Kluyveromyces lactis: one gene and its partners. The protein of the gene in region 1 interacts with the protein of each later gene in a pairwise test. Links are inferred from orthologs where the notes say so. Each region holds a gene or a part of one and is shown on either strand. Other genes may lie near its edges.

The links. The genes of interacting proteins can lie anywhere in the genome.
Region 2: the proteins of CAF40 (region 1) and CCR4 interact in binary tests that used the Saccharomyces cerevisiae proteins (3 or more experiments, as listed by UniProt). The link is inferred for Kluyveromyces lactis from reciprocal best matches to the Saccharomyces cerevisiae genes CAF40 and CCR4.
Region 3: the proteins of CAF40 (region 1) and POP2 interact in binary tests that used the Saccharomyces cerevisiae proteins (3 or more experiments, as listed by UniProt). The link is inferred for Kluyveromyces lactis from reciprocal best matches to the Saccharomyces cerevisiae genes CAF40 and POP2.

Annotation. Positions count from the first base shown.
Region 1 is NC_006041.1:1,171,254-1,175,626, forward strand, and holds CAF40 (CCR4-NOT core subunit CAF40), read left to right. Parts: upstream 1-1,702; coding exon 1,703-2,968; downstream 2,969-4,373. Other genes in the region: SEC21 (coatomer subunit gamma), read left to right, coding at 3,254-4,373. UniProt on the Saccharomyces cerevisiae protein: Acts as a component of the CCR4-NOT core complex, which in the nucleus seems to be a general transcription factor, and in the cytoplasm the major mRNA deadenylase involved in mRNA turnover.
Region 2 is NC_006042.1:1,467,684-1,473,334, forward strand, and holds CCR4 (CCR4-NOT core exoribonuclease subunit CCR4), read right to left. Parts: upstream 3,302-5,651; coding exon 929-3,301; downstream 1-928. Other genes in the region: nucleoside transmembrane transporter FUN26, read right to left, coding at 1-303; ATS1 (Ats1p), read right to left, coding at 4,730-5,651. UniProt on the Saccharomyces cerevisiae protein: Acts as a catalytic component of the CCR4-NOT core complex, which in the nucleus seems to be a general transcription factor, and in the cytoplasm the major mRNA deadenylase involved in mRNA turnover.
Region 3 is NC_006039.1:1,668,646-1,673,396, reverse strand, and holds POP2 (CCR4-NOT core DEDD family RNase subunit POP2), read left to right. Parts: upstream 1-2,406; coding exon 2,407-3,750; downstream 3,751-4,751. Other genes in the region: putative GTPase NOG2, read left to right, coding at 1-737, 1,218-1,952; BRE5 (Bre5p), read left to right, coding at 4,602-4,751. UniProt on the Saccharomyces cerevisiae protein: Acts as a probably catalytic component of the CCR4-NOT core complex, which in the nucleus seems to be a general transcription factor, and in the cytoplasm the major mRNA deadenylase involved in mRNA turnover.

The sequences.
Region 1 (4,373 bases):
CAACTACCAACATCGGGCGATGTTGGAGTTAGTGTTGAAGGCACATCAGTAACAAGGTCGCGATAAGTATATTGCGTCTTGAGGTTCCAAAGACGAGAGAAACGCTGTGCACCAGTCTGAACGTGCTAAAATGTACTCTAGCACTCTGAAGCATTAAGTATACCCAAATTTCTGAGGAACGTTTACTGAGAGGCCTGCAAGTTTGTATTTAAGAAAACTGTATTTAAGAAACCGTACTAGGAGCAACGGCCTCGCTAGAGGCCGTTTCTTTGATATGATAGCCAATGTCACGTGATGCCAAAAATCCGTTCCATACAAAATATAAGAAAAAGAGTATCACGTGATGGTACACCATCACGTGACGTAAACAACCCTCAAAGCTGCGTGTTATATAGCGCCAACCGGGAACACCGCTATCCGCGTCGTTATTGCCACTTCCAGTAATTGTCCGAGGGCGAATGTCTTCCACACGAGACAATCCCCGGGTAATGCCGCACACCTTACAATGGGAAATCAACTTCCCATTGTAGTAAGAAAAAAAATTTTTTTTTCTTCCCTTCGCTTGCCCTTTCCCATGGAACGTTGTGGAAAAAACTCGACAACAGGACACCCAGAATGCAAAGGGGGCTATGTCTTAGAGCATGTCTGGGACACAGAACCGCGCCCGCCCCCGTTTTGTCTTTTGAACCGAAATAATTCTAGCTCATCGATACACCCATAGACCCATAAACGCATCAATCAAATGAAAATCAAAAACAACAATTTGGACCGCATATTCACTTAAAATGCAGTAGCAGCGGAGGGCGCGTTCTAAAAGTAGGAAACGTCTACGCTACTTTAGGATTAGCCCTCTGGACCGTGTAATGTAATGTCATACCACTTCCATGTCCGAGTGAATGTCCGTGTCTCGGTGCTGGGATGATCCCTGAGATCCCTTGCCCTCGCTCTAATACCGGACTCCCAGTTTCACACATATAAATAGAGGAAAACAAAGTTTAAGATGCGATGCCTTTTCCCATACCATTGGCGGTTGTTTTTGGGATAATTTTAATTGTTCTGTCTGACATATTTTAAAACAGCAAGAAACAACAACTAAGTAACACATACAGTTAACAATGTCTGACAAGATCGAAGAACAAAGAGAAGCTATCCAAGATAAGGTTGAAGAAGTTCAACAAAATGCTGAGGAAACTGCTCAAGAAGCTCAACAACAAGCTGAAGAGACTCAAGAACAAGCTCAAGCTAAGGCTGAGGAAACTCAAGAACAAGCTCAAGCCAAAGCTGAAGATGTCAAGAAGGAATCTCAATCTTTTTCCAAGAAATGGTTGGGTAAGTTGAAGAAGTTGTTTAACTAAAGTTAAAATAAAAACAAAAAAAGCTTCCGCTTTTTTTATTTTATTTTTAATCAACTATTAAAGTAATTCTAACATTCCAAATTATAATCTTAACCCCATTCTCCTCTATTATTATTCCTACTATCACCAACTTAATATACATCTTTATATATTGTCTAATACTTAATAATTAATATGCTTCTTCTTTTATTCAGTGTTTCGTCATATTGAACAATGTCTGGGCGTGTTTTGTTTTGTGTTTAAACTTTCGTTGTCTTATTACCCGGATTTCATAACAACCTCAGTTTCCACAACTTAGCACATCTTTTCAACTTAAAAGTGTTGATAATTCGCATCTCTGTATATATATGGTATGTAGAATAGGCAATATTCAGCATTGTCTCAGGGAAGGACACATCATCCAGCTTGTGCATCAGGTAGAACACCCGCAATTATCATCTGCCATGTTTCAACAGCAACCCCAGGCTCAAGCGGCTCAAGCTCAGGGGAATGTGTTCTCGGAACAAACCCGCAGGAAATATTTCCCACAATTGAAACCTTACTTCCCAAATAACCAAGGCCAGGGTCAAGGCCAGCCTCAAGGGCAGGCTCAGGGTCAAAATCAAACCCAGGGCCAACAGCAACAACAGCAACCCCAAAATATGCCTCCTGGTTTGCAACAAGGAATGCCCCACCCAGTAGTAGAAAACAACCAACTTCCAGGTCAGATGCCTGGGATGGGCCAAGGGCCAACTGCAGGACCAAGTTCAGTTCCTGGGCCAGGTCCCACACCAGCAGGAATAACACATGCGCTAGATGATCCAAATGTCTACCATTGGATATGCCAGCTCACTTACGGGCCAAGCAAAGAACAAGCGCTTCTAGAACTAGGTAAGAAACGTGAACAGTATGAGGATTTGGCTATCGTGCTGTGGTCCAGTTTCGGTGTGATGACGTCGTTGCTAAAGGAAATAATTTCAATTTATCCGCTTCTTTCACCTCCTGCATTATCAAACCAGTTATCAAACCGCGTATGCAACGCTTTGGTGCTCTTACAATGTGTCGCATCACACCCAGATATCAGGCCTCAATTCTTACAGGCTCACATCCCGTTGTTCCTTTTCCCATTCTTATCTACGACATCAAACCAAAGAACTTTTGAATATTTAAGGCTAACTTCACTAGGTGTCATCGGTGCTCTAGTGAAAAACGATTCTGCAGAAGTGATCAGTTTCCTTCTAAGGACAGATATTATCCCATTATGTTTAAGAATCATGGAAAACTCTTCAGAACTTTCGAAGATCGTCGCTATCTTCATCTTACAGAAAATATTATTAGACGATAACGGACTCCAGTTCGTATGCGCGACCCCAGAACGGTTCTACGCGGTGTCACAAGTTTTGGCAACTATGTTTAAGCACATGTCCCAACAACAGGTGCCGGGAAGATTATTGAAACATGTTGTAAGATGCTACCTAAGATTATCGGATAATTTAGAAGCCAGAAGATTGTTGAAACAAGTTTTGCCGCAACAACTAAGAGATAACACCTTCAATGAAGCACTACAGGACGATGTAGGTACCAAGAGATGTCTTGCACAACTACTCCTGACTCTAGATGAACAGCAGCAGTGATCTTGCCTGCTATATCATATATATCTCCATATCCATATATATATATATATATACATATATATCATAATTAAAAAACAAGTGTTACCCTCACTTTCACACACCCGCTTCACTTTTTTTTTCATTCCAAAGGACTTCTACCGATTTGCAAACTGAAAACATTATGAATATAAATATATACCATACCACACGGCAAAAAGAATTGGATAAAACACGAGGTTAATAGGCTCAAAATTGGCTACTAAAGGTTAGTACGTCATTTGAAGGTATCCTAGCACTGCCAATTGCATGTCTGCACAAACTTATAAGAAGTCTGAGGACCCACACAGTGGGTCCTTGCCAGACAAAATGGCGATCTATCAGGATTGTTTGAATCGGTTCAATGAATCTCCTGTGAATCCTAAACTGTGCCGTACCCTGATCACAAGCTTGTTGGAACTATTGTCGCATGGTGAGACTTTCCCTAGACAAGAAGCTACTGCTTTATTCTTTTCCATTTCGAAATTGTTCCAACACCCTAACGATTCTTTGAGACAAATCGTTTACGTGGCTATTAAGGAATTGTGTGGAATCTCCGATGATATCTTGATGGCTACTTCTTCAATTATGAAAGATGTTCAAAATGGTTCAGATCTAGTGAAGCCTAATGCTATTAGAGCATTGATCCGTGTCTTGGATGAGTCCACTGCATTTTCTGCAGAAAGATTATTGAAAAATTCGTTGGTTAGCAAACATCCATCTATTTGTTCTGCTTCTTTGGTCAGTTCATACCATTTATTACCAATCGCTGAAACTACGGTGAAGAGATTTGCTAATGAGACTCAGGAAGCCGTTGGTGATTTGAAACAGTTGCCATATCCAGATGAGAACAGTAGATATTATCCAACTACGTCTCATATCTCTCAATACCATGCATTGGGTTTGTTGTACCAATTGAAGAATCACGATAAGATGGCTTTGATCAAATTGATCCAACAGTTTGCCGGTCATTCTTCACCATTGAAAAATCAATTGGCTCAAGTACAAATGGTTAAATTCGTGCACCAATTGGTTTTGAAGGATCCTAACTCCATCCCCCAGTTCTTACCACTAATAGCTAATTGGTTGCAAAGCAGACACGAGGCTGTTGCTTTGGAAGCTTGTAAGCTTACTGCGTCTCTATCCAACTTGGTTCCTAACGATTTGTTTGCAGCAGCGGTTTCTGTCTTGCAAGGATTCTTGTCCACTCCTCGTGTGACAACCAGATTTGCTGCAGTGCGTTTGTTGAACAAGATTTCTATGGTTTCACCAGAGAAAATTGTGGTATGTAATCCACAATTGGAATCTCTTGTTAACGATAGCAACAGAAACATTTCCACTTACACAATCACTACCTTGTTGAAGACTGGTACCGACAAGAACATTGGTT
Region 2 (5,651 bases), on another chromosome or scaffold:
GGATAAAATTATGTTAGACAGTACCGATGATATCGTACTAACTGTCATCATGGTACTGATGTAAATCCTTGCATACACCGACGTGTCTTGAAATACATCATGCTGGAAATATAATGACGCACTTAAGAATGAGTTCCACGGCCAAAGTAATGCAATACCGATAAGGAAAAATGCAAGATAATTAGTATCAGTAAGCTTGATGTATGTAGATTCTTTGGAAAGGTCCTTGGTTTGTATTTGGGAAATAGGATCATTTAATGCAGTTCCCGTTATTGGAGTTTCGTCATTTTCTTCTAGTTCCATAATTCGATGAAATATTTGGTGTATTAATTTTCCCCTTGAGTCTATTTATTCAAAATACAGACCAGCCAATGTATATATTGACCAAGTACTAATTAAAATCCCTTCATCAGTAATTTTGTAGCTTGCATCATTATGTTTTCCCATAAAACAACAATTTTCTGAAGGAATTCCTGTTTAGTTTCCAAAAATATGATAAGGAATTTACAAAAAAATCACTTAATCCGTCCAGAGACAGGAAAAGAAAAAGTGAGAAAGCCTGTCAGTTATACTTGGAATAGACTTTAAAACATTAATATACAGAAGAAAATAAAGACTAACGTTATAAATGATGAAGTATTAGTTGAAATGATGGGATAAACCGGTTTTAACATCCTAAAAAAAAAAGGCACTTCTTAGAATATCATTTCTTTGGTGGATTTTACCGGCACATATGGTTTTGTTGTATCAATTGAGAAAGGACACAAGATGTCTGATGTATCTTCTATTGATAACGTTAAATGAAATTTACAATTACAAGAGCAGGATGAAAGTGAATGTGGCAATAACTGGTATAGATATCTTGATAAAGCCAGCAATAAAGGGAACAAAAAGAAGTGAAACATGATTGTAAATAAAATTAGTACAATTACACTTTCCTGCTGGATGTTTGGGTGGCGTTACCCCTTGAAATTTCAAATCTTGTGACAAGAGGGATGTGGTCACTTGGGAACTTATCGTTAGGGAACCCAATAAACTTGGATGCATACTCCTCGTCGATCTTCCCTAGTAATCCGCGAACACGTAGTGATTGAGAGGAATACCAGATATAATCGATGACGTCGGTGAAGGAGGGTGTCATATTTGTGAATGGTAGTTCACCAATGGCGCCGTAACTTGATCTGAGCGACAAATTATGCGAGAAATTCTTCTGTGACATATAACCGAAATCTCTTTGATCAATATCTTTATGGTTTGCCGTGACGTGACCACTGTTGAATAATTCTACAACAGCAGAGTCTAATTGGGAGTTAAAATCACCACAGATGACCATAGGAATCTTCTTTATGTCATTGTTATTGTTTACATGGTGGTGCTGTTTGATTAAAGTCTCTAAATAGTCCAGCATCACGCCAACTTGGAAAGTTTTAACATCATTAAATTGTGGATCCCAATGTAAATGAGTAGTGACCACCCACACATTTTCGTTTGTATTCAAATGCTTTAGTTCTGCGATTAGCGCAACATTGTCCTTATTCATAGCACGATTCAAATAATCTTCTGTACGATGGAATTTTTTATGGCTTCTCCAAGCAGAACTAAAATCAATTGAATCTTGGAAGACCAATTGGAATTGATCCTTCTTGTAGAAAATAGCACAACCATCGACCTTTTTGGAATCCTTGGCGTGCATTGTCTTGGCTCTGGTCTTAGCGTGGAACAAGCAACTATAGTTATATTTTTCCATAAGAGGAACCCAATATTCCTCATATGTTAAAGTTTCAACTTCTTGCAAACATATAACATCTGTGTCAAAATCTAGTAACTGTTCTTTCAACTTTTCTCTTCTGTAATCCCAGCTTAACGCCCAAGATGGAGTGAAACGGTACATCTTTGGAGTAGCATAATGATGACACAACGTATTGTAAGATAACAATGTGAAGCTATTCTTCAATAAAGTATTGTTCATGTGATTTGTATTCTCTTGTAATGACTCGTATTCGTTAGTTGGCTCGCCATCAGCTGATATTTCAATAAATTTTCTATCCTTGGCATATGGGATTTCAGGCGCATTATCTCTGAGGTAAAAGATTAATCCAGTGACAGACTTTTCAGCTATAATTTTCACGAGTTGTTTATCAAGAGGATTGCCCTCCAAACCCAAAAACTGCAAGTTAAACAAATTACCAAATTCCCAGGGGATTGTTGTGATCATATTGTCAAAGAAATATAAATATTTCAACTGATAGCACATACCTAACTCTTTTGGTAGTTCTGTCAACCTATTATGAGACAAGTCTAACACTCTTAGATTTCTGAGTTTTTTGATGGAAGAGGGTAATGAAGTAAGGCTATTACCATTTAAATATAAACGTGTCAAAAATTCGTAATGGAACAGTTTTTCGTTAAGATTGAAAAGGGCCAAGTTGGAAAGGTCTAACGCGTGCCATAATTGATCATCATGTTTAGAGTTCGTTGGAGCTACCATGCGATGTTCAATTTCATCGTCTTCGTCGATATTATATTGAGACAGCTTCTTGTGTTGCAGAAGTAGAGAAGGTGTATTTGGATGAAGCTCTGCTTTTGGAGTATTCGGAGTTGAGAACCCTGTAGAGTTTAGATCAGAATTGACATTAACAGCAGATGCAGTAGCTTCATTACCGGATGAGGCCATCTCCATAAGATGTTGTTTAGTGTGCTCGACTAAAGACATGGATGCGTCATTACCTAAAGGTTGCTGACCTTGTTGCTGACCAGATTGACTTGGTTGTTGTTGCTGGCCCTGCTGCTGTTGTGACTGAACGCCATCTTGGCCATTAGTAGACAGTCCCAACTGATTTTGATTATTTAAGAACTTCTTCATGGCGTTTTGTCTAGCATACACATTCGATTGACCCAAAGACTGTCTGGAAACTGCAGCCAATTGAAGCTGTAACTTCCAAATTGGTGAATTCAACAACGAGGGGTCCGCTAAATGTGGATGGCATAACGGATTATTAGCATTGGACAATTGCTGAGCCACTAACGCAGCCTGGGCTGCATTAGGTGTTCCAACATTAGGAGGACCCACAGCTTGCTGTGGTCCCCCTGCACCGCCAGTTATCACATTCTGAACCTGGTTCATCATCATAGGAAGGACATTGTTTAGTTGGGCCGGCTGATGTTGGTTTCCTTGATTTCCCATCAAACCTGGCGGATGCTGGTGAAGCTGCTGAGTAACAGCTTGCGGCGTACCCACCATCTGAGGCACCGCTTGCCCAGCAGGTTTCTGGAATCCTGACAAGGGAGGCGGATAATTCATTTGCACCAATTCAATTATAATGTGTTGATAATAGTTTCAATTTTTTTCACTGCTGTTATTCGTTGATTCCTGTTTAAACTTCTATTCGTTGTTATTTCCAGCTTTTCTAAATATCAATATCAGTTTAGAATCTTACAACTCTCAAAATATGCCCAATGACCAGTTCTTATTTCTTAATATGTTTTCGGTTTAGTATCTCGATTATATTAAATTCTCCTCTTATATCAAATAAAAAAAGCACAGTCAGTACAGTAATAACTAGTCGTCTGATGAGGCTGTAAAGCTTCCTTAGTTGCCGAAGTCTATGTCTTTTAATGTTTAATGTTTTAATTTCAATATAAGATTTATTTAGTTCTTTCAAAGAAAAAACAAAGTCTTAAAAACCGTTTGATAAAAGGAAAACAAGAAAAAACACTCAGTAGAACCTGTGCAGAAGTGGAAACAAAGAGAGGTAACAATATTAGTGAGTGGTAAATAAAGAACCGGGGCACAGGTAGATGCACAATTGGTGTAGCTCTGATCTTTAAATGCCAATGTTCTTTTCTATGTTGTTGAGAATATTCCAGTTTCTGTAACTATCGGGGGTTAGAGCTTGCTTGTTACTGAAGAAGTGACAGCTGTTGCCACTCTGGTCTCGATACGCTCTACTCTGAGCTTTCGTCATTTTGATCGTTTTATTATATTACCCGGACCACATATCTGATTATGGCGAGGATTATCAACAGTTGTACTATTACCCGGACTTAATTTATTCGTGTAACGATACGCGGGTTACTATTGTTCACGGATATAGCAAGATAGCATAACAATAAAACAGTACAAGAGATTCCTGATTTGCGATAGTTATAATAGGTGCTCTAATATTACGAGCAATACCCAGTTAATTGCAGTAAATAAACCATTTACAGTTACTAAGGCCCTATTTCTTGTGAAGGACTTATGTATAAAAAGAAAAATTGAACGTTTTAAAATAAAAAAAACGAAAAGTATCTGAAAGTTCATCGCACACAACATACTTACAATATGATAACTCGTTATTAACAGTTGTATCGTTTATTATTTTTCTTCTAAAAAGATCAGTAAGAACTTGGATAAGTGATTATCTGGGTTCTTGCAAGGGACTTTTAAAGAAACTGGGCTACTAATCATCGTATTGATTTATCTTTCTCTGTTGTTTTCGAATAGGAAAGTGTGATTTTTACTTTGATTTCTAGTTGTTTGGGTGATACGAGTCTCTAGACATCAATAATCAAGAAGTCTATACATATTTTCCATGTGAGCCGCCTGGTATTTTCATTAATTGCCATGGTTGTATATTTTATATTTTCAACATGAATATGGGAAAGGTACTTCTTAACATTTTGTTACATAGATGCATATATACATTAGAGAGCGTTCTTCTCTTTGCTAAGAGAAAATAATCGGTGCTCACGTAACCAACACTAACCATGTGGTCGCACATCCTCCGAAGATGCTAACAACTTTTTCGTATTTTCCTATCATATTAAGGGGGCTGATAACGTTACTCTTGTCATTGATCGGATTTGTCTCTGTCTTGAATAAAGACCCACAATTACCGTGCTCTCCCCAGCCCCAACAATATACTTTCATGTCAGCAGTAGTTACTACCCCATGCTCACTACCAGTAACAAAATCCAGAGTTTCTGAAGGCAGAGGTTCTTCCAAAAACTGGCCATGAGAACCTCGTCCAATGGATATAAGCTTTCGTTCACCAGTAAGAATGTGTAACGAGGACCACATAGAGTCAATCTTGGCAATTGATCCGAAATCATGCGACAACTGTGATATCAATTCGGGAAGTTCTTTTGCTAATGACCCTTTTATAATTAATTTATTTTCAGTTCTGGAAAGTACACAGGTAAAGTCCTTTCCTAAAGCCATCTCGATATCAGACGTATCCCCCTCATAAATCACCTTTGGTTCCTCAATGATTTTCAAGGCTGAGTCGTCACACACTTGTAGCTTCCTATTATTGCCCCATCCGTATATCTTCTCCGGAACAACCACTACGCAATGCTGGAAAGTTGCATAACATCGGGAGCCTTTTGGATCTTCACATCGGAACAGATCAATCCATTCTGTACTGTGTTTCAACCTAGGTACCCCTAATTCGCCTTTATCACCCCTTCCACGGGTTTTAACCCAGCCATCCTCATCAATAACTATAGTAACTTCCCAACCACATGCAATATCGAGAAATTTCCCTGGAATAGGGATCCATTCGAGACTTATTTTAATGTCACTGGAAGCGCATTGACCAGAAGAGTTATCGCCACACCAATACAACGACCCATCTTCTAATAATAGTAGCGAATGGTTGCCCCCACAT
Region 3 (4,751 bases), on another chromosome or scaffold:
TGAAGGGTGAGAATTTCTACAGGGACACCAAGAGAGTGCAGTTTTTGAACATGTACAAAGGTGGTAGATCTGTTCGTAATGCAAAGGGTGACATTATCAAGGCTGCTCCGTTGCAGGATACTGCTGCTCCAACAGCAAGAGTGGCTCCTGACCGTAGATGGTTTGGTAATACCAGAGTTATTTCTCAGGATTCATTGAGCCATTTCAGAGAAGCTTTGGGCGAGAACAAGCGTGATTCTTATCAGGTGCTATTGAGAAGAAATAAACTTCCGATGTCGTTGTTGAACGAAAAGGATTCCGCTGAATCTCCAACGGCAAAGATTTTGGAGACAGAGCCCTTTGAACAAACTTTTGGGCCTAAGGCTCAGAGGAAGAAACCAAGAATCGCTGCGTCGTCGTTGGAAGAGTTGATTTCAAGTACTTCTACCGATAATAAGACTTTTGAAGAAAAGCAAGAATTGGATTCTACTCTGGGGCTTATGGGTAAGCAAGAGGAAGAAGACGGTTGGACGCAGGCAGCAAAGGAAGCCATTTTCCACAAAGGTCAGTCGAAACGTATTTGGAACGAATTGTACAAGGTTATCGATTCCTCCGATGTCGTCATCCACGTATTGGATGCTAGAGATCCTTTGGGGACTCGTTGTAAATCGGTGACTGATTACATGACCAATGAGACTCCTCATAAACATTTGATATACGTCTTGAACAAGTGTGATCTTGTTCCTACATGGGTTGCCGTATGTTTTAAACTTTCTTTTTAATCTTCAGTGATTACTACTAACCGATTATACTTTCTAACTGGGAGTGAATACCACAGTATCTTGAGAATACCAAAATTCTTTGTCAGGGTGTTTCTGCGTACATTCTAGTACAACTTACACATACAGAAGGGCCTGTTACAGTTTTGGAAGAGCAATACTACCCACCCTCGATCTATCCATCGTTTTGATGGAGTCATGGTTGAAACCTAGTTGAACAATCTTCGTTTTGAGGATATATCAGCGCTTTTATTTCGGGTACGGAGGAACTTAAGAGTTGAGCTTTGGATCTGAAAAGAATTATTATGCCATGGCTCGTAGTAAAGAACCTCACATCACCACTAATATACTCAATACAGCATGGAGTCAACCCCCAGTAGAAAGCATAATTGGTTATTGATTCACATATGTGATTACAATTTTACTAACACGATTTTCCCTATTTTTGATTCTCAACAGGCAGCATGGGTAAAACATCTATCGAAGGAACGTCCCACATTGGCATTCCATGCCTCTATTACCAATTCATTTGGTAAGGGTTCGTTAATTCAACTTCTACGTCAATTCTCACAACTGCATAAGGACAGACATCAAATCTCTGTTGGGTTCATTGGATATCCAAACACCGGTAAATCCTCAATCATCAACACTCTAAGGAAAAAGAAGGTCTGTCAAGTGGCACCTATTCCTGGTGAAACTAAGGTGTGGCAATACATAACTTTGATGAAGAGAATCTTTTTAATCGATTGTCCCGGTATTGTACCGCCATCCAGCAAGGACAGTGAAGAGGATATTCTATTCAGAGGTGTGGTAAGAGTTGAACACGTTTCGCATCCTGAACAATACATTCCAGGTATTCTAAAACGTTGTAAGAGACAACATTTGGAAAGAACCTATGAGATCTCCGGATGGAAAGACTCTGTAGATTTCATCGAAATGATTGCAAGAAAGCAAGGTAGACTATTGAAAGGTGGTGAACCAGATGAAAGCGGGGTATCGAAACAAATCTTGAACGATTTCAACAGAGGTAAGATCCCATGGTTCGTACCACCACCAGAGAAGGACAAGATTGAGGAAAAGGAACCTGGTGATAAGAAACGTCCTGCAGAGGAAAATCAAGAAGATCAAGAAGAGGAAGAGAAGGAGCAAGAGGAACAAGAAGAACCTGTTTCTAAAAAGGCCAAAAAGGAATAAACCAAACACTTCCTCAATATTTAATTCTCTCCAGACACGGGCATCGCTTTATATATAGACACACCATATACAATCTTATCGGATCTATCGTTTTTGTACATTAATATCAATCGGATGACTTAGGCTAAGTCTTGCACATAGAAATTTATTAAATAAATAGTAGAAAGGCTGGATAACACCGAACGTTGTGAAGCATGCAGATCAGGGGCAGAAACACTGGACAATGGACCCATTCGGGTCCACTGTCCATTGAGAAGTGGTGCCAGTGGTAATATCAACACCGTACACAATGACATTTCCCTCGAAAATTCTGTTTCTGCCAAAGAGGAACGAAACAGGAAAGCCTTTAGCATTAGATAAGGAAGAGACAGAGACATATATGGTTGGAATACGATTCAATTCTGATTTAAGAGTTGTCATTTAGGACTACTCCAGTAAGTACGATAGAATTTTAATGCAATCTCTTAATAGTCAGCTCGGAGGATTGCCAAATTCGGAGCAATTTTTCGGGAAGGGCGCTGTTCAGCAGCAAGGGCCAGTTGGGATGAACGGGATGCTTTTCTCCCCTTCTATGAATAGTACTCGTATGATGCCTCAACAGTCGCAACAACCACATGTGCTGCATGGGCTTGAGAACAATGGGGGTCTTCAAAATTCGTACTTGTTGAAACAGAAGATGGATGTGGTAAACAGTGCTTTTGGGCAGCAAAACAACTTACAGCAGCAGCAGCAACCGGGAAAAATGCCGTTGCCGAATAATGGGCAAGTTCCTATGATGATGCAGAACAGCATTTCCGGTGGTAACTCTAATAACAATACGATTCCACAGCAGATGCAATTTCCAATGCCGGTACAACAACAGGCAATGGGAAACGTGAACGGGCTTGATACAACACCATTACCTAATGCATCTCATACGCCAATCTCGTCTCCAGCGCATCTTTTGATCAGAGAAGTGTGGCAAAACAACGTAAACTTCGAGTTTGCCATAATCCGTAAAATGATCGAGCAATACAAAGTTATTTCTATAAGCACCGAGTTTGTCGGTACGATAGCGAGACCCATTGGGAATTTCCGCTCAAAGACAGATTACCATTACCAGACGATGAGATCCAACGTGGATCTACTAACCCCAATCCAGATTGGACTTTCGTTAAGCGATTTACAGGGGAATAAACCAGACAACTTCCCATCCACATGGCAATTCAACTTCCATTTCGACGTAACAAAGGAGACCGTGAATTCGGAATCGTTAGAACTATTAAAGAAATCCGGTGTCATCTTGGAGAGACATCAACAGAACGGTGTTGATTTCGACGAGTTTGCTCAGTTGATGATGGATTCCGGGTTATTGTTGAACGATGAGGTCACGTGGATCAGTTACCATGCAGCATACGATTACGGGTTCTTAATCAACAGGCTCATGAACACAAACATGCCCAACAACAAAGAGGACTTCGAATGGTGGGTTCAGAAATACATACCAACGTCGTACGATTTGAACCTAATTAACAAGTTAGTTCATGAGGTAACGCAACAACACCCACATCCACCACCATTACATCTATTACAAAGTCAACAGCAACAGCAACAAAACCAACAACAGCAATATACACTAGAACTACTGGCTGACGAGTTGGGGATTCCGATCTTCCCATTGTTCAGCAGCGCAGCGGGACAAAGTCTCTTGGCACTATTGGCATACACCCAACTCGGTAAATTGTCTTTGTACAAACTACGCAATGGAACAGATTTCAGTTACTACAAGAACCTGATCTACGGAATCACACAGGAGTAATATATGTGATTTTTATGTGCCAGCCTTTCATATAGAGTATCATCAATAATGCATTTATGTATGTGAATATATATATATACATACACAATCATTCTTAAAATAGGGTATAAAAGGTGGCTGACTAGCCACCGTCACTGAACTGAACTGATGCTGACCAGTGCGAAACCCACAGGTTGCAAGAGCGCAACCTGTGTACTTCATTCACCTGGCATCTCGTGAGGCATGATTTCATAAGATGATTGACGAGTTTTCCATTAAAAAATTTTGAAAATTGACTCTTTACATATAATCACTAGATGCAAACATGCACATACTTTGCTTGTGAGGGGCGTTTCTTGTTGTTAGGGTGTCTATTTGGTTCGCTTATCGGTTTTCATGCATTCATTAGAAACCAGACTTTAATCTTTAGCGATAAGTTTGAAGCGTGAGGCACATATACGGTGTTCGTAGTGCTGAAATTTCCCGTGAGTCTGGAAAAAAGCACCCATAGGAAATTAATACTTTTTTGTTATTGTATTCTAGTATACCCTATACTTTCCTGCTTGAATATCCACCGTTAATACACTTGGATTAAAACGTTGTTAGAGCGTTATTAGAGCGTGCTTTTCCCTTCTTTTTTTTTTTTTTGTTTGACAGTTTTATTTTTAATTCATTCAAAGGTCTTTCTGATTGACAACGATTGACTGTATTGCATTCATTTCATACACTTTAGCATTCCAATTTGATTTTTTGATACCCGCGATCGGTTTGAAATTGAGAGTTATCAAAGAATAGTTGAATTCTTTTACAAGAACCAGTGTGTTTTTTCCTGTTTAGATTAATTTGATACAATCACATTTGGTTTGGAAAATATGACCACTTACGATGTGAAAGAGATCGGATATGCGTTCCTAAGGACGTACTATGAACGTATGCATAATGATCCATCGAAATTGTCGTGTTTATATTCTACCACGGCGGAATTGACCCATGTGAATTATAATGAACCTATCAAGCATGAC